4 linked regions of the Pelodiscus sinensis genome follow. The protein of the gene in region 4 interacts with the protein of the main gene of each other region in a biochemical or structural test. Links are inferred from orthologs where the notes say so. Each region holds a gene or a part of one and is shown on either strand. Other genes may lie near its edges.

Region 1 (7,998 bases), on a different chromosome or scaffold from region 4:
TTTTTACTGTATTCTGGAATCTTAACGCACTGGCAATCTTTTTGAGGCACTGACTTCTGCATGAGGGGGAAACTAGGACTAAAATACTACTCTTGCTAACTAGTGGTGCTGTTAAGGATGACTACCAGCAGGAGAGCACCTAGGTGAGGATGCCTTTTTGCATGCAACTACTGGAAAGACTTATCCTCGCCCAGCTGCCTTGAAACGCTCCATTAAACAGTCAAGTTGCTGAACGGCACATTCGGAACGCAAGAGGGCGCCAGCCACCCACGTTTTCCACGCTGGACTGGACTTTCTCTTAGGGTGAGGTAATAATGAGAGTATTGGGGTGGGGGGGGGGGCTCATTCGAACAATCTACGGTCTAGTTTAGTCTGCAGTCCCAGAGCGTTTGCACAAGCCCGGGCTAAGGCGCGCGTGGGACCCCTTCATGCCAACTCCTTTGGGTTGGGGGAGGTGGGTGCACTCTCTCTGAGAGCCATGTAAGTTACATCTCCTGTCCCCATGTGCGAGTCAGGGAGTTAGCCTGGGAGCTGGAGCGGAACGAGCAATAATTCTACGGGGGTGAAATGCGCATAATGCTTCAGTGGCGGCGTGGGGGGGCGGGGGAGGCAGGCTGGGCAGATCTGAAGAACAAGCCTGACGATTTTCTCTGTCGGGCGGGCTTATTTATGTGATTTAATTGTTTGTATGTATTTCTCTTCCTCGCTCCTGCTCGTGCTTTTTTTTTCTCCCCCCAGACGAAAGAAACGTGAAATTACCAGTAACTCGTCGGGTCTAATAGAGTTATCGGTGTAAATGCACAGTTTTTCTGCGGTCAGAGGAATAGTTTCCTTCATTTTTGACGCCACAAACATGCAGGTAGCTCCCAGGAGTTGCAATCGGCTTTTCTTGAGGGGTTCAAACGATAAAAATCTGTCCAAATAATTCATAGCCAAGGGGAAAACCTCCTCTTCACATTTCTGCTCCTCGCAAACCTGGAAAAGGAGAGAGCTCGTTGAAACGACCAGTAATTGCATCCACTATTAAATCCAGTTATGCCTCCTCCCCCCACCCCCAACCAAAGCTTGAAGGGCAAGGCAGAGGATGGGGTTGACGGGGGAGAAATAAATTTCCCCAAAAGGAGAGGAGGGAAGACTTAAAAGAAACTGAAAGAGAAAGTCGCAAAGAGAGAAAGTGGGGAAATGTGGTGTGAAAAATCCGCAGGCGAGCTTTGGTAAAAATCTGGGTGCTCGCAGATCGGGAGTCGCTTTTTTTTAAAAAAAAGGACAAATAACTTGCAAAGTGATGCAGGGGCCCAGCTGGGCTCCCAGGGTTTTCTTTAATTATTATGATTATTATTTCTTATTTACTTGGGTGCAGCCGATCTTCTGCTTTGCTCGAGACACAAAGGTGGCGTCCGGAGCAGCCGCACCAGCCCCATTTCCCCAGACGTCATCTTTTCAAAAAATATTTAAAAATATTTAAAAAATCAGCCCAAGCTCCAAAAACGGCTGAAAATGACCCGGCGGGGGTCCTTTACCGATCCCCGTGCTGATGGGGCACCTAGGGGCGGTCAGGGAGATACCCCGAAATCAAACTCCCTCGTTCCCCCTCACCCTCTTCAGAAAAGCAACGTGCGACATTTCCTAGAGCAAGGGCAACGTGCTGCGCTTTCAAAAATTAATTAAAAATAGATCGCAGGCGTCCAAGGCTTCGGAAAAGGCATGAAAATGTAGCCCAGGCTCCCTAGATCCTGCTGGGGATGCCCTGGGACATGTCCTGCCAGGGGAGTGGGGCATTTGAACTGGATTTTGCCATGCGACCTTGCCGAAAGTTCCTGCAGCACAAGCATGTCTTTGAGGGGTGACCACAGCTCGCTCTCTGCTCTGAACAAAGAAACTTTCACCCTGCATTTCCCCCAGAAATGACAGAGCCCAACAGCCGATCCCCCTGTCCACAGCCCCAGCAGGGACCCCCATTTCTGGGACGCCCCCTGCCCCCCTTGGCTCGCTCCTGGGGACTTGCTAATTTTCTAATTATTAATAAACACTTTTGCTTTGCAATAAAAGAACAAAGATGGCGCATAATACTGGCACGGGCAGCACTTGCATACGTGTACATCGATATTAATTTAAAATAAAATCCCAATAAAATAGCTGGCGAGGTTTAATTGCTGCCCGAAGACAAGAGTGGGGCCTCGGGGTGCCTGGGAAGTTGCTGTGTTCATCTGGGATCCCAGAGGAGGCGTCTTAAGGGGGCTTTTTCCAGCTGGGGCTGTGAAACTTTGTTTTCTCTGGCACCGAGTTCATTTGAAAAGGTTCAAGGGAGCCCCCCCGCCCCAGAATTTATTTTTGTTTTAGAGATGGGGGTGCGGGGCTTGCTTTCCCGCTATGGAAGGCACCTCATTGTTAAGAAGCAAATAGAAGATAAGGGGATAAAAGCCATCACATTCTTGACTGTCAATATATAGCTCTAGCGTTACCTCCAATGCTGAAGGAAGCTTTTGGGGGGGGGGGCGAGGGGGCAGATTCTAGAACGGGGGAGCCATTCAGGGTTGGTTAATGCAGCAGCTTGCAAAGAAATCTCTGAAACATACAAACCTCCAGCATCCAAGTGGCAACTATTTTCCTCATATATGGCAAGATTTCCTTCTGCACGCACTTGAAGTAGGACACAGAGGGCGAGCAGGTCTCCTCTGCTTTCAGCATTGTCTGCAGAACCCTGTCATTGAGGAGGTTGGTATCTAGATAGGCTCTTCTGATGGTCTCCACTTCACAACACAGCAGCTGATGTTCCATGTCTGTCTCCTTCTTCCAAAGGCAGTTTTCTAAAGGACTGAGTCAGTCAGTCTCTCGCTCGCTTCCCCTTCCAGGAGTCCTTTGGATGCTGCTTGCTGCTACTGCCGCTACAGCCCTCTGGAGGCTGCAAAACTTTCTAACTTCCAACAAAAGTCTCCTGTATAGCCCCTGTGACGTTTACTGTTGTTAAGCAGAGATCAAAGCACAAGAGAGAATGAGACAGAGAGTGAGAGAGAAGCCAAAAGCAAGGGGCAGAGCCCTAAAGCCATCCCATAGGCTTTAAGTCCTTCCCCTTATACAGAAGCAAGGGTTTAATGCAAATGAGACAAGGGCTTGCTTTCTTCAAGGGAAGCAGAGAGGTGGGGGAAACCCAAATTGTCTCTTCAGCATATCATGCATAATTTTTAAAATCGAGAGAGTAATGCAGTGGGAGCCAAATGATGAATGGGACTAGGCCACACACAGTCAGGCATGGCTATAAATACAGGGAAGCTTATTTATTATCATTTTAGTGGGGGAGGGCAGCAGGACCATATTCATTATTATCACCCATCTCTAAATTAAACTAGCATTGTTTAAAAATAGGCTTTCAACCTGGCCTGCCAGGGCATGTAGAGGATCTTGTCCTTTTCCATTCCTTGTACCTACCCCCTCCCCCAACCTCACCAAGTCAGTGTAGATTTTTGCTGCATCCCCGAACTGAAAAGAAAGTTCCCCCTAGAATATTCAGGGTGCTTTTTTTAATATTAAGCTTTTACCCTAAAGACAGGGTAAGCAGAACACCGTGATAGCTCATCCAAGCTGCACTAAGAAAGCAGTTAACCCTAAGCAGGCAATAGATCAGATATCAACACCCCACCCCCACAGCACACATAACCAGTAACCACCCAGAACAATCCCAGCAAAATGGTGGCCAGCATTTCCTCCCGCACAGTTAACACCTAGAGGAAGAGGAATGCGAGGAAGGTGCTGATATTCACTGGGGTTATCAGGAGCCAGAGCCAAAGCCCATTTAAGTTAGCAACAGCCCTATCCACAGTTGTATTGTGGTCCCAGCATGGGAGACTTTACTTTCCCAAATAAAGCTATTTTAAATTTAAGAAACCTTTTTTTTTTTACATTGAACACTTGTTAAAGGTCTTCCCTTTAATCTGAAACATTTTCAGAAAAGAAGCATTTAGGCCTGAAGGGATTTGGCTGCTTTTTGCATACGGGGAAAGTGCTACGGCTGAAGTCTTAGCCCCATCCCAGCCATAGCAAAACTCATTTCAATGGAGCAAGCATTTGTGTCTCGCTGGTGACTGTTTTGGGGGCTCATAGATATGGGGATCCACTTTGTCCTCTGCTTGCTGAACTGGTTCTCAGCCTGCCTGGCTGGGCACATCTTAATACATAATAATAATTAATACATTAATACCTGGCGCTTCTGCAGCCCTTCTCAAAGCATCTCCAGTTGGGTTAGATTGCATGAGGTTCACATGTATGAATGTATAACGTATACATAATTCTGCATAGCAATCCTTGTCCCTCTTGTACATGCAATGAGCTATATTGGATATATCGCTACAGATCATAAGGCTATAGTTTTATTTATGTATAGTGTATATAACAGGCGATCTTCACATCTGACCTTTGTCTTGCCTATATTATGATGATACACAAAGGCTCCAGTCAGGATATTGGCCCCTGTTGTACTTGTCCACTGCTAGAATTTATGGGATTTTTTTTTAACCAAGGAAAGAAATTCCTACCTATATAAATTATGTATCTTTTTTATTCCTGAAAAGTAGCAAATATGTTCCAATTTTTATTAAACAAACAAACAAACATTAAGCTCACCCTTTAAAGTCAATAAACTATTTGTCCATTAATCACAGACAAGTTCAGGGGTACATTTTGTTCAACAAATAGTTACATCGCTCCTTAATCTCAAACGTTTTTTCTAATGTGGATTTTTTTCCTTTCAAGCATTAGTGACATTTTCTAAGGCAGTATAATTTGGGGACCAGGCATTGCCTCTACCCCTCTGGTCACATTAGTGTTTCTCTCTGTTTATTTCTTGATCAATAAATCTTCCATCGGGGATCAACTACACTGATTCTCCATCCCTCCCCCACGCTCTGTTTGCTGCATGGAATTCTTGCTCTCCCGATGCATTTGCTGCTGCTTTTTTTTTCACGATGCGAACAAAGTTGTTTTTTCATTCATAAAAATCCGCATCGGTGTGGCAAGAGCCCTTGATTTATGAGGCGGAGTGGTATCAGCTACAGCTTTTCCGGAGCCCCCCTCCCACTACCACCCTCCAGCTGAGACCGCTGCACAGACAGACTGGCTTCTGCTGCGTGTGGCAATATTGCATGAACGAGATCGCCCACTTAAAACAAAATTGGCTCTAATTCCTGCAGGGAACCCCCACCCCCTAAAATGGGCTGAAATACAAGAGGAAACTGAAATTAGCATAAGCCAATAGGGGAATAGATCTGTTACCAGGCGGATCAGGCAGATCTGAACTAGGAACTTGCTTGATTTCTCTGACAAGAAAAGGGGACTGGTCAAAAGTGCAAGAGCTACAAAAAACCGTGAAAACTTGGATTGACTGAGGGAGGAAAAGTTTTATGACACTTTATGACACTTTATGAACCCTAAGTTCACACCGTTACTGATAGCCGGTGCCTACTGCTCTTTTACGGAAATAATTCTCCAAGATCAAAGCACAGTCATCAAAAGAATTATTTACTTGTGCCCAATTTAAAAATCTCGCCCTAATGCCGGGCAGAGAGACTTCTCAGCTCACTTTAGATCCTTGACAATGTTTAAAGGTGCACTTTGTCTTTCTGAAAGGCGGGTGATCTGCAGCCGATTTAGCTGTATTGCAAAGCAACATGCGAAATATAATTTAATTCATGACTAAAGAAGGAAAAAGCATTGCAGCATTTTCAGAACAGTTCGTGTCTGTCTCTTTATTACTCAAATGCAGGACAGACTTATAATTGCTGAAGGAGGGGGGAAGGTTTTTTGAACCTGTTAAAAAATCCATTTGGGTTGTTACCCACATGTCCAGGACTAGTCTTGTTCCTTGCTGTCTCTCCTAAGTGTGCACTTTTCACTCGAGCCCAGACGGAGGGAACCAGCCTTCTTTTGTTTGTAAGAATGCCATAAATTAAACAAACCACTTCCCACATGTGTAGGTGGAATCTCACCTTGGGCCAGATACCTGATCGGCAACTTAAAAGGGTTCCCCTCCCCCCCACTCATCCGTCAATGTTTTCCATTGTTAAACTTTTCCAATCGCTCATTGAAGGGGGGGAAAGGCTTCTTCCTCCACGCTCAAGTCTCCTTTTTCGCAGTGCAGATTTCTGCAGTTCGTCTAACGTGCTGCCTCCTCAGCTCCCCAACCCCCAATTTTGTCCCCCGTTTTGTCTTTCGCAGCACGTGTTATTCCTAGCCTTAGTCTACTGGCAATTTCCATCAACGCCCAAAGCAAGCAGTTCTGTCTCCTTCTCCAGCTACGCACACATCCCAAAGCTTAAAAGAGTGGGCGTGCGGGAGAGGCGGTGTGGGAGGGTGGTCGGGAAAAGAGGGTGTGTGTGTTAAAAGCAAGGTGCCTGGTTCTTCTGGATCAAATTCACACGAGATCTTGGGCAGGACAAGGCTTTAGCAAGGGCCTAGTACCGATAGCGACATCCCAGGAAGGAGGGGAGGGGAGGGTAGAGGTGCAAAGTGGGAGTCCCCAAAATGACATAGGTCCCACCAGGCTCTGGCTAGAGCAGAACTAATGGAGCCAATGGGCCATTTCTATAATCACTCGCTTGCCTTTGGAGGCGGTCTTCTCTTGTGCCCTGAAAGTCCCGAGGGAAGGGGAAGGGGGGTGGGGGCTGTCGCACAATGCCAGGGGCAGCAAGATCCCACACAATCTCAAATTCCTAGTGGGCTACACGCCCTACTGAATGAGCCAGCGATGTGCTGCTGGAGTTTGCTTTGCAGCCAGTCGCTTTCCGGGGTTGAGTCACAACCTCAATTTAGTTCTACTTTCCGCTCTCTCCACTATATATATATATATATATATACACACACACACACACACACACACTTTTTAGATCAGCGCAGTAACCAATCCACTACACAATAGGAACGATTCGTGTGTTGTACGGTTGTGGAGGCAGCGCATTGCCCCGATCCGACTCCATTACTTAAACAGGACTTTTTTTTTTAGGCAAAGGTCCCTTGAAGAGCCCATGACGGGAAGAGGGTTCTATCGGAGATCTCTCAGCTCCGGACTGCGTGGGGCAGGAGGCGATGCACTCCGGATCTAGCCCCTCTTTCTTCACTCTACACAGACATGTACTGCTAGGGCTTGTCGTGTCTTGCCCTTGACGTTGAGTTGCATTATGTTCTTAGTGATGAACCTTCCCATCGCTTACCTAAGGATTTAGAAGAGATCTGGATGTTTAACGTGCCAAATCATTCTCCTTCTTCCTTTTCTCCTACTGCAAGAGGCTCATTTTTTATTGAACCATCCTGCAGAATCAGAGGACTTTGGGGAGGTTCTGTGATGCAGTTTCTAATGCTATAAGCTTCATTCTCTCCTCCGGGGCCAGTAGCCCCCCCAGGAATTGAAATGGGGGGGGTGTTTGAATTTACAAGGGGTGTATGAGGGCCGATGAGGGGTGACACCGTGAGGGTGAAGGTGGGCTGTATGGCACCATAGTTCACAAAACTGCGGGGGGGGGGGGTGTTGGTGAAATTCAGCGGGGGTATACACTCCCATGGGGGGGGGGGGAGGATAGGGAAATCCCTGTCCGGGACAATCGAGTAACTGCAGAATCCAAACACTCCGGGGACTAGTAGTTTTCTGAACTGTGTTCTTGTTGCACAACGTGGTCGAAGTGGTTGCACACGCTCCATTCTGGAGGTCTCACATCATAATTACTGGATTCTGCTTTCCAAACACAAACAAAACCACCTTTCCCTTACACGTGGGCCACCCTGGTCACATCGTATTCTCACGAAAGGGTGCATCCAGATACGCCAGGGCAATGCAAATAATTGCGATTGTTCTTGAATGAAAATCGGTAACCTTAGATATTGTCGGGCACAGAAAAGGTGAGTTTGTAACGGCATAATTATCCAGGTTCGTGCAGTGTCGCTGAATATTTTGGCATACATTAAGAAACCCCTTAGTGTGTACGTTTAGTTTTTAATAAAACCCTTTAAAAGAAA
Region 2 (7,032 bases), on a different chromosome or scaffold from region 4:
CTACACTGGCCGCTTGAATTTCCAGAAAAGCACGGACGATCTGATGTAAAATCATCAGTGCTTTTCCGGAAAAACTATGCTGCTCCCGTTTGGGCAAAAGTCTTTTTCTGAAAGACTTTTGCACAAAAGGGCCAGTGTAGACAGCATAGTACTGTTTTCCGCAAAAAAGCCCCCATCGTGAAAAAGGCAATCGGGGCTTTATTGCGGAAAACCACGTGTAGATTGGCCACGGACGCTTTTCCGCAAAAAGTGCTTTTGCGGAAAAGCATCCTGCCAATCTAGACGCGCTTTTCCGAAAATGCTTTTAATGGAAAACTTTTCCGTTAAAAGCATTTTCGGAAATTCATGCCAGTGTAGATGTAGCCCAAGAGTTTTTCAGGATTCCAGAGTTATCCCAGAAAAACTCTTCTACATCCAGGGATGCATTTGTTCTTTCACTTTTTTTAGTGGAAGAGCAAATGTGCTCTTTGGGTAACCCCTATATTCCTCTTTCCACAAGGAATAAAGGGGCTTCCAAAAGAAGGGGTTTTTCTGACATTTGGTCCAGTCTAGACAGGCCAAATGTTGGAAAAACCTCTTCCTACAGAAGAATTGGGGGGAAAAAGCAGCAGTATAAGGATTGGGGATAGCAAGTGATGGAGAGGAGGAGAATAGAGAGGGCGTGTTGGGGCTTCAAGGAAGGGGTGGGGTCTTGGGGGAAGGATGGGGTAGTAGATCTTGGTTTGTTCTGTCATTTAAAAATGATCTTGGGTGCAAAAAGGTTGGAGACCACTGATATACAAGTTTAGTTCTATCTCGGATTCGGATTGTTGGGTGGACAAACTCAAAGCAGGGCAAAAGTGAGAATGACTGGAAATAGAGGACAGCTTTTCCAGACCCTTACATTTTCATTATGTTCCTCAAATGAGAAAACTCAATTTATAGTTTATAAAACTCTTGTATATGTTTCAAATTATATGAGCATATAGAGTCAGGAGACTGTAAATGGAATGAGAGGGAACACATATGTAAACAAAAGTTTTGGGTCCACCCCTCGTAAGGATGAAGTAAGTCATAGATCCATTTAATTCTCAATGAATTTTCTTCTAGCAAATATTATTAGCTTGCAAGTGAAAACTAGAGTTATAGATACTGCTTAATAAATTGGGATTCTTCTTTAATTAGACTGCACGCTTTCATATTTTGCAAATATCATTCACAAATTCTTGATAGCCCACCTACTGAAAAAGTAAAAGGTAATGACAATGTATTTAAACACACAAATACTTCTGTGCTATAGGTAAATATCCTGGCTGCCCCTATGAAATTAACAGCTACCTAAAGTACTCTAGTAGCCACACCACACTTTTTTTTTACTTGTAAACAAATATAACAAAGTTAATCCGGCCACTCCCCTTAAAAACTGCAACTTAAAGTGTACTTCCTGTCCCGATGTAAAGACAAACCAAATCAGATATTTGCTTCTTATATATTGGTAAGGGGAAATAAAGCTAACACTTCACCTAAGCAAAAAAACATGCAACCACATGAGTACAAACACCACCACACCAAAATGTCTAATGCATCTCCATATTGGTTATGATAAACAAAGTCCAAAATACACAGGTCAAATTAAGGAAACACCCACATACGCAGAGAGTGGTTTTTTTTTTCAATGAAGTTGAAGTGAGGTGAAGGTGCTAGAAGTCTCCAAGATACAATTCAGTGACCACTGAAGTTGCGGGGGGGACGGGGACTGGTCACAGTACTTCCCTAAATTGTGTCATAACTTTTGGAGAGTCTCAGAAACCTGTTATAAGCAATCAACTGACTGAAAAACAGTGCCACATAAAAGCTTGTGCAAACCAAAAGGCTCCTGATAGCCAAGGAATCCAACCAAGAAGGCTCGAAGACAGAGCCAGCCTCGCTCCTCCCCATGCATTTGTGGGGCGAAGGTAGGGTGGGAAGCAAGGCGGGAGAGTGCAAGATCCAGCTCAGCACTCCTCCCTCTGCGGGGAGACCCCCCCAAGCTCCAGTCACAAACACTTTCCTTGACTGGATTCCCAGAGCAGGCAGCCGCTTCCTGTTCGCGCAGCCCTACCCTTCCCCTCCTCGCCCCATGCCCCGATGCACACGCACAGAACGGGGAGTAAGCCCCAGGGCGCCAGCCCCCAGCCTCCTTGCAGGCTCACCCGGCGGGGTGCCGCAGCCGCCGCCACTGCGGCGCATGAAACCTCCCTCCGCCGAGGCCCGGCCCCGCGAGGGAGCCGCACGCACCATCCTGCCTCCCTCTTCCCCGGCGAGCGCCCCCCGCCCGCTCCGGCGAAGCAGGCCCCGGCGCTTCCTCCCGCCGCCCTGGCGCGCGGGGCACTTACACGCCCGGAGCGGCGGCGCTGCTGGGCGGGTTCCCCCGCGGGGCCGGCGCTAGGGCCTAGCTGGGCGCGGGCAGCCGCCTGGTCTCCCTCGCCGGCCGCTCCTCCGCCCCTCGGCGCGGGGGATCAGCCCATGGAGCGCGCCGGCCGGCCGGACCCCCGCCTGGCTCTGGCCGCTCCGGCGCTGGGCAGCCTCCGGCCGGGGCGCACGAGGGGGCGGCCGGGCCCCGAGCTGCTGGCTGCTGCCCCAGCCACCCCCCTTCAGGCTGGGCTGCTGCCGCGGCTCCCGGCTCCGCCAGCCTGCGCTCGCCTGGTCCCTCCTCTGCCTGCTGCTCGCACAGACACACACACACACACGGGCTGTGTCTGCTCGGCGATGCCTGCGGGGTCCTACCGCCCGCGGAATCCAGCCGCCTGCAGAGCCCGGCTGGGCGGGGGGGGGGGCAGAGAGTTCCTGCTGCAGCCCCCTTGGCGCTAGTCCAGGGCCCCCTCCCCACACACTCACAGTCGGCGCGGGGCGCCCATGCAGGTGTTTGTTCGGCATGCTGCAGGAGACGTGGGGAACTCCGGCTAACTTCCTAACCGCACACAGGCTTATCACGGCAATCAGGGCGGCTTGCCGCTCACACTGCTGTTTACTAAAAGGAGAGCTCGACTCACACACAACCACGCTGGTGGGACCGGAGTCCAGCTTTATTAGCTCGAATCGTAGCTCCCCACCTCCCCCCCCACACACACCCACCCACCCCGCTCAAACTGTAAGGCAAACACACACAAGAGGGAAACTGACCGGATTGTGCGTTTGTAAGGACTTTTTTGTTAGCTTTGGACGGTGCCTAGCGTGGTGGGGCCCTAGCGCAGGAAGGTGTGTTACCACAATAGGATGATAACAACAACAAAACAAAAGCTGTGCGGCCAACTCTCCCAGTAGTTGGTGTTTTCAATAAAGCCCTGGGGCTTGAATTAATTTGGTAATGTGAGAATGTCAGTTCTCATTTTTTTTAAAAGGTTTTTTTTAAGCCCTCGTGATTCTCAAGATGGGTCTGCAAATGCAAATCAAGTAAATTCTAAAAGCTGAGAACACAGCAGCCAACTAAAAAAACTTACACAACTGAGAGTGTTGTTGGGTTTTTTTTAATTGAGTGAATTTTAAGCCAATCTCCTGACTGGAGAGGGCATGACTCATAATTTTTTATTCTTGGAATTGACACCTCAGTGAAGACACCCATGTATAGCCAAAAGCAACCAAAGATGTGGGCAATTGTGAGTTATAGATCAGAGAGGGAAATTAAGATATGAGACAAGAGGTATTGCAGTTAGGGAAAATAAATACATAAATACATTACAAATGTCCTAAAGGAAACAGAGTAGCAACAACAAAAGGAAAAATTATGTAGCACTTTAAAGACTAACAAGATAGTTTAATAGGTGATGAGCTTTCCAGGGCCAGAGTAGGTCTGGCCCACAAAAGCTATTAAACCATCTTGTTAGTCTTTAAAGGGCTACATAGTTTTTCCTTTTGTTTTAGCAAGATCAGACTAACACGGCTACCTCTCTATTCAACATGCAGAGTAGCAACAGTAATCCTCAAATGTTGTAGGATGGATTGAAATATGCTCATTCTTCTCCTACATAAACTTCACCAAAGAGAAGTTATTCGTGAACATTATTGCTTGTCTTCCTTTTAGACTTGACTTTTTCATATTTCATAAATACACACACACATGAGGAATCAAGGAGACTCCATGCATGCATGGTTGTGGTATGCAGATCAAATTGCTTATCTCTGGAGCCTTATATTTGCAAGAACTATTTACTCCACTGAAGTGTGTCTTGGAAAGAAAGCTTTTCTTATTCCTTTTGAATTAATCTTTTAGCTAAAAGAGAACATTGCTAAGCAGATAGAATGAAATGAATCAGGAGAGCTTGTTGAACAGGCAGATTCAAATTCTCTCTTGATTCATGGTGAAAAGTGTGTTTTGCAGTTATCTGAGGATCTCAAAGCATTTTACAAAAGTGAATACTACGGTGTGGCTCAAAGCAAAGGCAGAAGTGGAGATTAAAACCCTAATTCTACAAATACTAAAAGCTGTGATGCTGCCTCAAACCAATCATCCATCTAGCCCAATATCCTGTTTCCAAAAATGGTGGGCACTAGAGCTGCAGAAAGACTAGAGAGAAGTGCAAGAAATGCATGGTGGAACAGACTTTAGCATAAGTAGTTAACACATGTTATAAGGAACTATTCAAGGTAAATGAACAAATTAATATCTCTGTAGTCATGGGATAAAAAGAGGGGGTTAGAGGGTTACAAATTATTATAAGCTATACATCAGGTGGCTTTATTAAGACCTTTATTCTTAGTGCCTAGTAAAATTATGAATTTAAGATCACTGGCTCGTCTTTTGAAAGTGCTGTGCAGGTTTCCTTTGAATATGAGGACTAAAAGATCAGATATAGATATGCATAAGGGTGAGCCAATCACTTTGTGAAAAATATTCACTCTCAGGTGATATGGTATTTTTCTCTTTTATCATTTTTCTGAGTGAGTTCATTCAAGAGTGTACTAATTGTCTTGTTTCGCCCCCATAGTTTTTAGGTCATTTAGTACATACATTGCATGAGGTATACCACATGTCAAGAGAGGCATATGTAGGAACTTTGGATCCTGAAAGATGCCATGAGAGGGCATTTCCTATTACCCCACTTAGTTTCTTTAGTGAGATACCTTGTTGAATGCTTTCTTAAAATCCAAGTACCCTATGTTGACTGGCTTATCCATATCCTCATGTTTGTTGACTCCCTCATAGAATTGTATTAAATCAGTGAGGTATGGCTTACTTTTACAAAAGCCACATTGACTCATCAACAAATTTTATTCATCTATGTGTTTGATTATTCTGTTTTTTTACTATGGTATCCATCAATTTGCCCAGTACTGAAGGTAGCCTCACTAGTCTGTAGATGCCAGGATCATCTTTGAAGACCTTTTTAAAAATCAGTGTTACATTAGCTACCTTCCAGTGATTTGTAACAGAGGCTTTTTTTCAGTGATAGTCTTTAAGGTGCTGCTAGAGTATTTGCTAACAACACATGTTGATGGTTTCATGAGCTTTCATGGGTAAACCCACTTCTTCATTGTTGTACCCATGAAAGCTCATGATATATCTACATGTGGGCTGTGTCTAGACTGGCAAGTTCTTCCACAAAAGCAGCTGCTTTTGCGGAAAAACTTGCCAGCTGTCTACACTGGCCGCTTAAATTTCTGCAGGAACACTGATTTCCTATTGTCTGAAATCAGTGCTTCTTGCGGAAATACTGTGCTGGTCCCATTCGGGCAAAAGTCCTTTTTTGTGTGCAAAAGGGCCAGTGTAGACAGCTCAGATTTGTTTTGCGCAAAAAAGCCCCGATCGTGAAAAAGGCGATCGGGGCTTTTTTGTGGAAAAGTGCGTCTAGATTGGCACAAACGCTTTTCCGCAAAAGCTGTTTTTGTGGAAAAGCATCCGTGCCAATCTAGACGCTCTTTTCCGCAAATGCTTTTAACGAAAAACTTTTCCGTTAAAAGCATTTGCGGAAAATCATGCCAATCTAGACGTAGCCGTATTGTTAGTCTTTAAGGTGCTGCTAGACTATTCATTAAGTTTTTCCATAGAATATTAAAACTGGAAGGGACATCAAGAGGTAATCAAGTCCAGTCCCCTGCTCTCACGGCAGGACCAAGCACCTTCTAGACCATCCCCGATAGATGTCAATCTAACCTGCTCTTAACTATCTCCAGAGATGGAGATTCCACAACCTCCATAGGCAGTTTATTTCCAGCATTTAAATATATTCCAGTTACAGACTAACTTGGCTACCCCTCTGTAGCTTTTCAGTGATAGATTACATCAGGGCCAGCTCGAGCCATTCCTGCGTCCTGGGCAGCAGGCACGCAACGCATGCGCGGCTCCACCCCTGGTGCGCTGCACTCCTTCCAGCTGCAATTGGGCGTGCGGCACCTGATTGCAGCTCTAAGGGGTGCCGCACAGGCCCCGGGCGTGCAGTGCCTAATGGCAGCTCTAAGGGGTGCCGCGCGGATGGGCGTGTGCGCCCCTTACAGCTGCCATCAGGCGCCTCCCATAGGTTGGCACCCCCGGCAGCTGCCCGGCTAGACCCCCTCCCCCTTAATCCAGCCCTGGGTTACATACCACACTTAGTAGTTCTGCAATTTCATATCTGAGTTCCACCAGAATGCTGGGTGAATGCTGTCTGGTACTGCTGATTATCGTTGTTCAATGTATCAATTTATTCTAAAAGTCTTCTATTGTTCTTGATGTGGTCTCTTCACATCAGAGAGATCCTTTTTTTGGGTGACAGACCTGAAGGCAGTGGATCAACTCACATGCCTAAAGTTACATCCTGATACTGCAAGCATGTATGTAAGTAATTTTCTCATGATCACATAGTAAAACAGTAGTTGGACTGAAAATACAGCTAAGTCTTGTTATGCACAGTCTCCTGCCCAAACCATTAGATTATGCGGCTTCCCATAAATTAGTTTTGGTGGAGACATCTGATTATACCATATGAATTCTTTGGCAGTCCCATAACAAGAGACTTGTTATTATTTAATGTTATAGAAGTGCACACATGGCCAACTCATTAGTAATGTCCCATTCTGTTGGTGCCGTTAAAACACAAG
Region 3 (5,405 bases), about 3.6 Mb from region 4:
CTCTTTGAAGATACCAACCTGTGCGCCATTCACGCTAAGAGAGTTACTATAATGCCTAAAGACATCCAGTTGGCCCGACGCATCCGAGGGGAAAGAGCTTAAAGCCCTTATCTTGCAACCATTTAAAACACAAAGGCTCTTTTAAGAGCCACCACATTTACACGGAAAAGAGCTGTATTTCCGCTTCCTTAGGTACACGCTACTATCGGGCAAAAACACCCCACTGTTGTTTTCCCCTTTCCACCCCGCAGTCCGGATGCGCTCCCGCAAACTTAAAACTGAGAAGCCTTTAGAAATGCGCTTTTATTTTGGGGGGAGAGGAGAGGAGTGTTGGGTTTTCACTTAAGTCTTAGCGATAATGCGCTGTATAGAACGCAAAGCAAAGTATTTCTCCGTGTGAGAAGCTACCATCCGGCACCCGAGCTAATTTGAACAGCCGTCGTCTACTAATGTAACGAAGGCTTTGGCCAGACCCCAAACCATTACAGCAACAGCAGCTCCTTTTTATGAAAGCGTGGGTGGCTCTGAAAAGAGCCTTTGGGTTAGTTTTTTCTTTTCTTCTCCCTAAGAATGACTGCCAGGCTTAGCCTCCGAATCCGTACAGAGTACGGCCTTGGCGCTTCAATGCATAAACCACGTCCATAGCAGTCACCGTCTTCCGCTTCGCGTGCTCGGTGTAAGTAACAGCATCTCGAATCACGTTCTCCAGGAAAACCTTCAGCACTCCCCGAGTCTCCTCGTAAATGAGACCCGAAATGCGCTTCACGCCCCCACGGCGCGCCAAACGGCGGATAGCTGGCTTCGTAATACCCTGGATGTTATCTCTCAATACCTTCCTATGGCGCTTAGCGCCTCCTTTCCCGAGACCTTTACCTCCCTTGCCACGGCCAGACATGCTCGCTAGCTTTTCAGTCACAGCTGCATGGCGATGCCGGGTAATCGTCTCCGTATATTGCCTGAAGTCCGACCTCATTGAGAACCGCAGAGGGAAAAGGGCGGGTTATTTGTACCGTCTCCCCTCCCCCGCTCTTCGCTGTCCATGCCTCTGACTGCCGGGGCGGCGCAAGGCTCGCAAAACTAGCTTGCTTACTAAAAGGGACTGGCGCGGGGGGTTTAGGCGACTCGGGGTGAAGCGCTGGCACGAAGCATGGGGGCTCCTTTGGAAGCCCGCCTCTCCTGACGCTGGTGGGCCTCTCCTTCAGCGTGCAGATGGCTAGATTAGGAATCTCTTTACGTCACCTTTTCTATCTGTTTTTGGAATATTTTCCCTTTCGACAAATCTTACGATAACGCGGCTGCCATTGTGTGGCTTCGTTTCAAGTAGGAATCTGCGGCAAAATACGGCCAATCAGGTTCCCTCACGCACGCCTCCCTTCCTCACTCCCTGCTCCTTTCTCTGCTCCCCCGCCCCCGCCGCCGCCATTTTCCAAAGCTTGTACAAAGGAAAGGAGGGTTTAACATGTGCTTCGGCCAAAAACCGGGAGCATGGGCACTCGGATTCCCTCCCCTTGCTCCTGATTGTTTTCTTTCTTCTCGCCTAACGTGAACGATGTCGCTGCTGCTGCTGCGTCTGACCACGGATTTGAATGGTCACTGAAAACAGACCCTCGGAAATCAAAAGCTTCAGAGGGGTTGCGGAGTTACTCTGTAACAGGAAAAAACTTCAACGCCAATAAATAGTCTAGTAGCACTTTAAAGACTAACAAAACACGTACCTGGTATCATGAGTTTTCCTGGGCAGAACCCACTTCTTCTGATGACCGAAGTATACTAAGAAACAGACTCCTCTCCTATTTCACAAAGGGTACATCTACACTGCACACTTATTTCGGAATAAGTTACTCCAGAAGGAATACTCCAAAATAGTTTATTTTACAATAGCATGTCTACACTATGGGTGTGTCTAGACTACCTAGTTTTGTCGACAAAAGTGGACTTTTGTCGACAAAACTATACCAGCGTCTACACTACTGCCTCATTTTACGAGGCATAACACCTTCTGTCGACAAGAACTCTGTCGACAGAAGGTGTTATTGCCTGTAACGTTGTGTCCAGACTACGGAGTTCTGTCGACAAAGCAGCTTGTTTTGTCGACAGAACTCAATGTGTCTGGACGCTCTTTGTTGGCGGAAGTTTTGTCGACAGTATCTGTCGACAAAACTTCCGTCGACAAAACGCGGTAGTCTAGACGTACCCTATGGGAAAGCTTCAAAGATAGTCCTGAGGATGCTACCTTGATTTAGAGCCCCAGGAACCACTAGGGTGTAATGACTTTGAATGGCCCTGGGGAGGAGCTAGTTCAAAATAGCAGTAGAGGAGGGTCCACACTACAGCTATTTCAAAATAGCTATTTCAGAATAGGCATTATTCCTCATGGAATGAGGTTTACAGAAGTCAGAATAAGCCGTCCATTATTTCGAAAGAACGGAATTGCTGTGTAGACGCTCGCATTATTTCAGAATAACATCCATTATTCCAAAATAATGCTGCTGCATAGACGCATCCAAAGCAGTTGCAGAAGTCTTAGAGGGAGATTGGTAGCTTTTCTTTCATTTTTTAATGTGGACACAAAGTTTGTCTGATTTTGAAGAGGCTAGATTTTTAGTTACTTGCACTAACATACAGAGGAAAATAGAGAAATCTGCTGTAAAATATGTAATCTATGTATATTTCTTTATACACAGGGCAGTTAAGGAACTTTAGAGTAAGTATTCTTTGGTTTGCTGATCTCTGCACACCACAAGTGATAAAGGTTTTCTCAAAGTCAATCATGAAATTCGACAGTTTTACTTTTTTTTTCCTTTTCTTGCTGGAGATTGGTTTTGTTTGATTGCATCTTCCCTTCCCTCCTGCCCGTCCACCGGCAATTCGTTCATTTGGTTTGTTTACTGCTGGAGAGAAAACAATGACATGTATATGGGTTTTAACTTTGATTAAAATTACCTCCAGGTTTCTTATGGAGAATTAAACCACCTCTGTCACTAGCACTTCAATGATCCTTTTATCAGTTCTTGGGCCTCTCACTGTGCAGGGAGCCCAATAACGTTAGGAAGATATTTGGGCCTTCTCCTACTGGCATTCTTCTGTCATTCAGGGAGTAAATTGAGCGTGGTTCTCAAACCACAGCTAGCACCACCATCAAGTGTATTAGCAGGATTAGTCCCATAGGATAGTACATGACTCCTTCCCCTCCCCGTAAAGCTTGCTGTGCATGCTTCATGCTAGGAAGAGGAGTCTGTCACTTCCACAGTTTAAGACAGGAGATACACTAAGACCTGGTATCCTGCCTTTGAAAATCATTCCACCTGTGAAAGTGATGTGTTGCGGCCTACCCAGAATATGTCAAATGAGTACCAGTTTAATTGTAAGTGGAAAGGAAAGGCAGCATTGTCAGATACAGGAGATAAAAATAAAAACAAAATTTGATTGGTTCACCAACAATAACCCTGCTTTTAGGGAAGTAAGTACCTCACACAGCAGTATGCAACAAAAGTGCTGATTACCCCAAAATGAGCAGACGAAAGTTTTTTGTAAGGACAGAATGAGACAACAAAAATCTAACGTCAGCAATTGTCAGGCGAGTGGAGGAGTACCAAAATACCGAAACAGGGTATATAAGGTTGGTTGAAACAGACCAAGAGCGGACAGGTTGCGAACCCCAAAAGCCAGGTCTGATCAACCAGGTCTCCCTCCCCGGCGCTGAATCTTGCTGCCGCACATAAGCTCCGAAAGGAGAACAAATAAGCTCCGAAAGGGGAACAAACACCTGTTGCAACAAAAAATCCAAAGAAAGGAAAAACAAAGAAAAGAATATCTCCTGAATCTAAGCAATGCTTCTATCTTTCTTAACGTGAGTATTATATATTTGTTAACTCCATAAATTGTTTAACGGTAACTCAGGAGGGTATATCTGTAGGAGAAGTTATTATTTCTTGTTTTTTTTTTTTCAACTATACTGTTTTTCTACTTTTTCTTTGTATATTATATTGTCTTAAAAGAATCAAAAATAGTGAATTGATTTAAATGGAAAATTAATTATAAAGTAAATAGAAAAAAATGAATAATCTTTGTTTGACCCTAAAAAGAAGTATTCCTCTGTCTGTGGTTTCAAATCCTTTAAAGAACCAAACCCGGTTACCGAAACCACCAAGAGAAGTTAAGTACATTCCAGTTCCAGTCCGGGAATACAGACAAGCCTTCTGTTCAGATGTCAATGTGCACATTCTACAAGTATTGAACCATTTGTGCAAGTAAGACTCCAACCCAAGTGTGGCCCTACTCAGCTCAGCATGAGGTTTGTATCGCCCACTTCAGGACACACAAGGAGCAACATAGAAGAAATTCCAAAACTGAGCCATTTTCCACATTCAGGAATCTTTTAATGATTGTTCAGTTCAGTGAGTGACTGGTGCTCTCGCACTGGAGCCAGTCTCCGTGTCCATGAAATGCCCATCTCCCTGGAAGAATCGTGCACTGGCACTAACCAATATGCTTAAACAGGTTTTGTATGCAAGGACAGAGACAGCTCCATTTAAAACTTTTTAAGGCATAGCGTAATTAGTCAGGCATTGGCTGTAAGAGGAGAGGAGGGGGTAAGCGCCCACCTCCATTAATGCTTTGCCTTGGGGCCTCAGTTAGGGCTCAGGGGATTCTCCTTTAGATTCTCCCATTTAACAGACAGGTCTACAGCCCAGCAAAGCTGAAGTCTGCACATCATCATGCTTTGGAAACACGGCTTAGGCCAGGTCTACACTAGACCTGGAAGGTCAGCTTAAAGTACACAATTCCAGCTACATAGAATACATAGCTGTAGTCAGCTTCCAGCACCCACACAGCAGCAGGCCAAGAGGAGCAAATGCTCCAGTAGGCTTCCCTTACTCCTCGGGACTGCGAGGAATACAGGCGCCAGCTGGAGCTTCCCTCACTGTTTGACTTACAGGTCTAAATCAAACCCGCTAAATCAAACGCCAGAATATCTATCTCCAGTAGGGTGAGTGCAGACATTCTCTTAGTGTCTCATAATCATGGAGATACGGAAAACATTGGCACTGTCTTGTTTATCAATTTTTCTAGCATGATTGAGATGCTAACATAGAGGTGATTCCTTGGTGCAAAGCAAAGTCACATTAGTTAGATAGGCAAGGAGAAGTCTCTGGAGACATTCCATCAAGACAATGAAAATTAAAAATCAGAGTTCTGCAAAATCTCACATAGAAGCCCCTTCCTGCAGCTCATACCAGTGTCTGATCAGTGTGCAGTTCTCATAAGGCTTTCCAAGCACCTTTCCCTAGATGATCTATTCAATCCTTTATTGTTTTGGTTTCCTTTGAGAAGCATGGGGATAGATACTTGCCTCCTGATCACAGGTGATTGTCCTCCCTTGCTTACTGTACATTAGAATGTAA
Region 4 (7,339 bases):
GTTTAAGACCACAATGAATTGCATGATTAAATGTGGTTAATCACAATTAATTTAATTGCTTGAAAGTCCTATAAATATGAATAAGTAATAAGTAATAAAATAATGAATATATTAGATTTGATATCAGGATTATACTAGTAAATTGCTCAAAATCTTAGCTATGTCCTCTAAGGTTTCTACAGTGATAGAAATATTTTTTCATAATTATGAATTTAGCAGCAAATCAGGTCAAACTACTTCCCTCATGGAAGAATAAACATATGGAAGGTATTACATAGAAAAGCAATTGAAATAAAAGAATAAAAATGAGACACCTCTATTGGTTTCTGGAGAAGAACAGGATTATGGAATCTGGAAAACCAAACACACATGCAAGAACAAACATAGGATTAAGATCAACCAAAAGAAGTAACATGTTTGGGTCTCTCTTTTAATTGGTAAAAATGCCCATGTTTTATTTCATGAATCTAAGTAAACACACATGGCAACAATCTGGCCATGTTCCACTACATGGTCTGTTCCTATGCCAAAACAACTGGGTACATTATTGTTGGAAAACAATCATGAAATACAAAGTATACAGTGTCAAAACAGAAAATTCATGTATCCATTTGCACAAAGCACAGTGCATGGTTACATAATAAAAATGCCATCTGTTTATGCAGCTATCCCATTGTGCCTCAGTTTCTCTAACTGTACAGTAGGGATAATAATACTACTACACAGGGCCTTGTGGGGTATAATTAATTTGTTATTACCAGTAATCATTATGATTGCAATGTGCACTGTGGTTATTGGATGAAAGGTGCAATAACATGAGTGTAGTTATAATAAAAAACTGTTTAGGGATATAATGTACAGGCGGCCCCCACTTTGTGACAGCCCAATTTATGACCCCCCACATTTACAAGCTTTTTGTAAGTGCAGAAGGGGCCGAAATCCCCCGACTTATGTCCTCGGCTCCACATTTACAATGGCATATGACACCTGTCATAAATGTAGACTCGAGTTACGACATCCCCAACTTGCGACGCTATCTCCAGAACCAATCACGTTGCAAGTCGGGGGCAGCCGACAGAACAGAAATATGGAGCCTGAACTTATATTATTGGTTTGAATTTTGCCTCAGATTAGTAGTAACTTGAAAGCTATTACCAGGCCAGTTATTTTGTAGCCTGTGAAAAATCAGATGACAAAATCCCCTTCCTACTCTAAGGGTACATCTACACTGCAACACTATTTTGAATACCTAGGATCAATGGTGCTGACAGTGGTTCCTCTCTATGTGATGCCTAGCATTATATCAAAGCTGCTTGGTATAAATGGAATGGTAGGAATTGACCTCAGTTCTGTGTGATAAAAAATACCAATACAATTAAAAGGTAGGGTGTAAAACTGTAGTTCAACCCATCTTAATGTACAGAATAGAGTTTTGGACAGACACAAAAGAAATCAGTGTGCTCTCCACTGTAGAGATGAAGGCAATTAAATGATAGGCAATTAACTGAAATTATGAAGGGCCTAATGAGGGTTGTCCCAATTGAAGACAAGTTCAGAACATTGGTATGGACCAGTGTTCCCCCTAATCTTTTCCATCTATGTGTGAAATAATTTTTATGTGCACTGAGGCATGTGTGAATGTGTACCACCAGTAGAAACAAAACCTAGCTGTGGGCATTTTGTTAATTATCTGGGCAGCATTTGAATCTCTCCTGAGTGACTGCACAAGCACATGGCTTACAAGGAACACTGTTATGGACATGTCTAATGGAGAGCTGACAGTTATGGTACAATGGTCCTTGCGCTGTTCTTGGACAGAAGATGACCAAGGGAGAGGATAAATACTTGGTACATAGACCAAATTTCAGCCAACCTAAACATGACTAACTTGCATGACAGCCAGGTGTACAGTTATGAGTTTTGGAAGAAGGCAATAAAAGTCTCTGACCATGAACAGGGAAGTGGCAAGAAAGAAGATACCAAATTTTGTATCCCTCTATATATTCTTTTCTTTTAGGCCTAACTCTTATAACTTGCTCTGCATGCATGGAGCCTTCTGGCTGGGCACAAAACTTGCTGAAATCACTAGGTCTGTGCATAGGTGTAAGGATCTGCTCACATGGAATAGGTTGCAAAACAGTGGCCAGATATTTAAACTGCTCGAACAGGCAGTGTCTTTATACCTAGGACAGAGCAAAGCACAACACTGATGCATACTAAATAATAGTGTAGTGTAGGTGAGATCAGAATTTGTGTTTGTGAGAAACCAACCTTGCAAAATTGTCATGAAAGCATATAAACTCCAGTACAAGATCTATGCAGCTGTACTTGCCGATTATGATTAATGATAATGAGGGAGAAACCATAGTGTATATGCCTGAATATAGGGATGTGAATGACTCATTGACTAAAGGTGTCTAGATTACAGAGTTTTTTTCAAAAAAAGTGGCCTTTTTTCGAAAAAACTTCCCCTGCGTCTAGATTGCTGCCACATTCTTTCGAAAGTAAATTGAAAGAACGCGGTAGTTTTTTCAACCTTGGAAAACCTCATTTTACGAGGAAGAATGCCATTTTTCGAAAGTGCTCTTTCGAAAAAAGGCGATATGTAATGCAAACTGTGCTTTTTCGAAAGTACTGGTTGTAGTCTAGATGCTCTTTTTTGAAAGAAGCTTTTTCGAAAGTATCTTTCGAAAAAGCTTCTTTCGAAAGAGGCTTGCAGTCTAGACATTGCCTAATTGACTATCTGATAAACAAATGCTTATTGGATAGTCGACATGCTAGTTGACTAATCACTTCCCCCCCCTTGCTGCCTCTATCAGAAAGAGGCAGCAAGGGGGAGGGAAGAAAAGCGGGTGCTTCAAGGTGGCAGTGCCATGTGGAGCCCAGGGTCTGCTGCTATGAAATGCTGTGAAGCCTGGGGCCAGCTGGGGACTGGCCTTCCAGCTGGCCCCAGGCTGCATGCAGCGTTTCAAGCAGCAGCGCTGCATGGAGCCTGGGGTTTGTTGCTTTGAAACGCCAAGTGCAGCCCAGGGCTAGCTGGGGACTGAACTCCCAGCTGGCCCCAGGCTGCATGTGGCATTTCAAAGTGGCAGCTCTGCATGGAGCTCAGGGTCAGGTGGGGATTCTGAGTCCCCCGCTGACCCGGGGCTATATGTAGTGTTGCTCAGGGGTGGATATAGGGCAGGGTGAGCCGAGTGGCCACCCCAGGCCTCGCGCTTCAAGAAGCCGCGCGCATGCGCCACCACACGTGCGCCGTGTCAAAGGGGGGGCCGCGCAAAATTGTGCTCTTCTGGGCCCCGCAAAATCCTCATCTGCCCATGGTGTTGCTGCTTTGAGCAACACTGGCAGCTCTGGAACTGTTGCTACACTTCAAAGGCTGAGGCTTATCGACTAAGCGAATAATGGATGCAAACTGCATCCACTATTCGATTAGCCAGTTAATCTAAATGTAACTTCCCTACCAGTATCTACTATATATTTGAGAGAGATTTTCTGTGTCTGTCTGTATGCTTGTTCAAGAACTCCTTCGAAGTGGTAAGAGCTAGGACCACCAAATTCAGTACTCAGCTTTCTAACTTCAAGCAAGGTACATTTTCATTATGTTTTCAAAACAACCCAAAAACCTTAATTAAGGACCCCAGCAATGTCAGGTTAATGTCAGGAGAGCGGAGCTTTGCCAGGCGGGTCAGACTCCGCTTTAGGGTGATGTATCAATGGCAGGTTACACAACGGCGTAATCTGCATCTCTGGGTAGGTACATGCATAGCTGTCGCTGTACTGCGCATCACGCAGCCACCTCGCTGAGTAGAAATCGACATAGGAAATGGGCCAGATCCTGCTCTCCTCCCCCCTCCTCCCCAGCCCTTGAAATCCAGGGTCTGAGCTGCGGGGCCTTTGTCTCTGCCGAGCCGGGAGAGGCTCCGGGCAGCCGCGCCCCCGCCCAGCGGTGCAGCAGAGGAGCTGCCCACTCCAGGTTGCGCTCCCCCGCCCCCCCCCCCCAGCAGTCGGGTTACAACAATCCTGCCACAATCAACCACCGCGCTGCGTTTTTCGGCCGACTAATAAAACAAGGAGGCGGTGGGCGGGGGAGGAAGGGTTTCTTTTCCACCCCTCCTTCTCCTTCCCCTTTAAGAGGCGGAGGTGAGGGAGTTTGCGGAAGGCCTCGATGAAGCAGGGCGCGCGGAGTGGGCGGCCTGACCTCGTGACTGCCTCTGGCCCCGCCCCTGATTCTCCCCCCCGCACCGTTCCAGCCCCCACCCTCCGCGTTCCATTGTGAGTGCGAGCTCCGCGTGGCCCCGCCTTCCCTCCGGGCCCCGCCTCCTTTTTTTCTCTTGGCTCACTTCCGGCCGCCGCCGCCGCTCGCTTCCCTCCGAGGACTCGGGAGAGTGAAGAAACAACAGCCGCCATTTTGTTTGTGTGTGAGCGACTGAGGGAGGGCGAGAGAGACCGAGCCGGACGGGGCGAGCCAGGGGGCGGGCAGCGCAGAGAGACTCAGGGGGCCCGGGCGGGGAACGGGAAGAGAAGAGAGTCCGAGACCCACCCCCGTTAACCACACCAGCCCCACAGCCAGCCGCCGAGAGCCAGGCAGCGGCACTAGGGAGTCTGCGCGCTCGGCCTCCGCTTAAAGCCCCCGTTCCACCCCGCCCCGCCCGCCTCCGGGGAGCAGAGGAGACCCCCCCCCCGCGGTCTCTTTTATTCGTGAGGGGGAGATTCTCCCCCCCCCCGTCCCGGGATTTTGGGTGGTGTCTGGACCCCCGCTGGGGCCCCCGCCCCCGAAGGCGGAGGCGAGAGGGCGTCCCAACAGCGCCTGAGAGGCGGAGAGTGACCGTCGCCGAACGCAGGGTGGGGGAGAGGAGCCTGACACCCCCCGCCCTGCCCAAACCAGCGCTAACCATCCTCAGCCACTCGGGAGGGGAAGGTAGCGCGAGAGAAGGGGGGAGGGGCCGGCTGCTGCTTCCTCCTCCTCCTGCCCTGGGATCGGTCCCTCCGCTTGCTCAGGGGGGCACCCTGCTCCTCCGGCTGGGAGAGAGCGAGAAGGGGGCGCTGAAACCCGCCCCCTGCACCTCCATCCAGGGATCGGCGCTGCTTCCATCAGGACAACAACCCCTCCTCTTTCCCCGCACGACAAGATGTGAAGCGGAGACTCTTGGGACTTATCCTCACCCTCCTCATCCTTCCAGCTCCCCGCTCTGCAGCCATTAGTGCCTGGCGAGGAAGAAGCAAGGGGAGCTGGGGACCCCGGACACGCACTGTCTTGCTTCCCTCCAGCCCCTTCGCGGGCAGTGGGTGGTGGTTTTTTTTGCTGTGTGGTGTTGGACGGGGAAGGAGCTGCTAGAGGAGGGTGATTTTTTCCCCCTCTCCTTTTTCCTCCTCCTCTCCCCTTCTTCGCCCGCCTCCTTGTGGCGATGAGGAGGAGGAGAACGACGCCGAGGAGGAAGAGGCTGATGGCGGCGGTGAGGCGGCAGCAGGAGGAGGAGACCCCCCGGAGGATGAAGATGATGGTGGCAGAGATGAGGAAGCAGCAGCAGCACAGCAGCCGGGATTAATTTGACTAAACCCTACCAGGCTCTTCTCCTTCTTTTTTGTTGCTGGCACGGGGGGAGGTTTCCGTGTTCTTCCCGTCTCCTCTCTGTCCGGGGGAAAAGGCCTCTTCCGTACCCTACTCCCCACCTTTTCCCCCCGCTGAGTCGGTGCCACCCTACCAGAGACCGAACCCGAGGGGCAGAAAAAGGGGAACTTGGCCCCCCGCGTCCTCCAGATCCGTCGCTCGCTCTCATTAGTCCACAACTGAGTCGGGGATCCGAGAGGAAGGGGAAGATTTTGGGGATCCCCGTCCCTCTGCTCGCTGTGTTTGTCTAAAAAGAATTAAAAATGGCCGAGAATGTGGTGGAGCCGGGCCCGCCTTCAGCCAAGCGGCCTAAACTCTCCTCACCGGCGCTCTCCGTGTCCGCAAGCGATGGCACAGGTCAGTCTCAGGGGCCCAGACCCCCCATGTCCCAATAATACGCCTAGAACCCTTTCCTCTCCTCTAGTTTTCCTCCTCTTCAGCTCTGTTTCTTCCTTAGTCCCTTCCCCTTTTTGTCTTTCCATTTGCACCCGTTTTTCGTCTGCATCTATGTGTATTAATCTTTTCGGAGGGTATTTAATTGCTCTTGCCCTTTATTTGTTAGATGTGATTGAGATGGGATCTTATTTATTATTCATTTGGTCACTTGCAGAAAAGACTTAACAGTTGTACAGTTTTCATCTTTATATCTCTCATTTCTGGTGGTTATAGGCATAAAATAGTGCACAAAACATCTTAACTCTTAACAGTGTCTGTATACATACACTTATGTCTCAATGTTTGTTGGATTACATGCATTGTAAAAATCCTTACATATTTTTCTTCTAAATAAGAGAGTTTTTTCCCCATTCCTCCTTTTCTCTTGTTTGCATTCTGGTTATCCTATTTACTTTTTTACCATTTCCCTTCACCTTTTCTCACCTCTCTTTTCTCTAAGGAACAGCTATCCTGGTTTTTGCTAGAAATTTCTTAGTTGTAATTTTTAAGTTCTGGATTGCAGATTTTAGTGATGTGTAAGATTTTAAGACCATGTTTATCTGCATGCAAACACATAGCGTTTCATCTTATTTGCATTAAGAATCAATATGGAGCGCAGTTCATTTTGCATCTTCCATTTCTTTGCTGTGAGACCAAAATGTCTGAAATTTCCATGTAGATTTATTGGGTTGTGAAGATGAAAGGGTCTTTTTCTTTCTTCAAGGATTTTTAACAGTGGTTTTGTATGGAGGAACAATCCATAGTTGTTCCAAAATCAAGCTAGAGGGTATAAATTTTGGGTGTCCCAATCCCCATCAAATGTAAACTAGTTGTACTGGAAATTAACAGTAAGCTGTTCTTCACTGCCTCTTATTAAGAAGCAGATGAGCATTTGGTAAAATTCTGCTTTGAGAGTTCTGAGCAGCCTGTCCCCCGTTGTTTCTCAAAACTTGCTTTTAGATCTTCTTAGGTTAAAGAAAACTTTTGGGACTCAACTCTGTCACTCCCCCTGCATATATTCTCTAGTTAATGTTGTTGTTCCCGATAGGCACCAGTTTACTTGTTCATTGTAATTGTTTGAGCTGCCAGGAAAATGAGTAAAAAATGTCTGGCCGTCACTCAGTAAACAAGATGTTTTAAATGTCTTGCTTTCTGTTGTGCATTGGTTTAACTGGAATCATCTTAATTAAAAGTTTTTTGTTTGCTCATCTTCTTAATTTGTTCTATAAAGTTTATATACCTAATTGAAAAATGTTTGCAGAGAACTTTTAGAATACATTTAGTCAGAGGTAGTAG

The links.
Region 1: the proteins of EP300 (region 4) and CCND1 form a complex in vitro, tested with the Homo sapiens proteins (2 studies listed by BioGRID). The link is inferred for Pelodiscus sinensis from reciprocal best matches to the Homo sapiens genes EP300 and CCND1.
Region 2: of the proteins of EP300 (region 4) and AKT1, one has a biochemical effect on the other in vitro, tested with the Homo sapiens proteins (3 studies listed by BioGRID, with this or other methods). The link is inferred for Pelodiscus sinensis from reciprocal best matches to the Homo sapiens genes EP300 and AKT1.
Region 3: of the proteins of EP300 (region 4) and H4C16, one has a biochemical effect on the other in vitro, tested with the Homo sapiens proteins (5 studies listed by BioGRID). The link is inferred for Pelodiscus sinensis from reciprocal best matches to the Homo sapiens genes EP300 and H4C16.

The regions. Positions count from the first base shown.
Region 1 is NC_134714.1:88,731,209-88,739,206, forward strand, and holds the start of CCND1 (G1/S-specific cyclin-D1), read right to left. Parts: upstream 3,022-7,998; 5' UTR 2,779-3,021; coding exon 2,581-2,778; intron 976-2,580; coding exon 760-975; intron 1-759. UniProt on the Homo sapiens protein: Regulatory component of the cyclin D1-CDK4 (DC) complex that phosphorylates and inhibits members of the retinoblastoma (RB) protein family including RB1 and regulates the cell-cycle during G(1)/S transition.
Region 2 is NC_134714.1:18,007,839-18,014,870, reverse strand, and holds the start of AKT1 (RAC-alpha serine/threonine-protein kinase), read right to left. Parts: upstream 3,001-7,032; 5' UTR 2,857-3,000; intron 2,689-2,856; exon of another isoform or gene 2,355-2,688; intron 2,304-2,354; exon of another isoform or gene 2,172-2,303; intron 1-2,171. UniProt on the Homo sapiens protein: AKT1 is one of 3 closely related serine/threonine-protein kinases (AKT1, AKT2 and AKT3) called the AKT kinase, and which regulate many processes including metabolism, proliferation, cell survival, growth and angiogenesis.
Region 3 is NC_134711.1:85,908,144-85,913,548, reverse strand, and holds H4C16 (histone H4), read right to left. Parts: upstream 1,101-5,405; 5' UTR 974-1,100; coding exon 584-973; 3' UTR 519-583; downstream 1-518. Other genes in the region: histone H3, read left to right, coding at 1-102. UniProt on the Homo sapiens protein: Core component of nucleosome. Nucleosomes wrap and compact DNA into chromatin, limiting DNA accessibility to the cellular machineries which require DNA as a template.
Region 4 is NC_134711.1:89,545,326-89,552,664, reverse strand, and holds the start of EP300 (histone acetyltransferase p300), read left to right. Parts: upstream 1-4,322; 5' UTR 4,323-5,871; coding exon 5,872-5,965; intron 5,966-7,339. UniProt on the Homo sapiens protein: Functions as a histone acetyltransferase and regulates transcription via chromatin remodeling. Acetylates all four core histones in nucleosomes. Histone acetylation gives an epigenetic tag for transcriptional activation.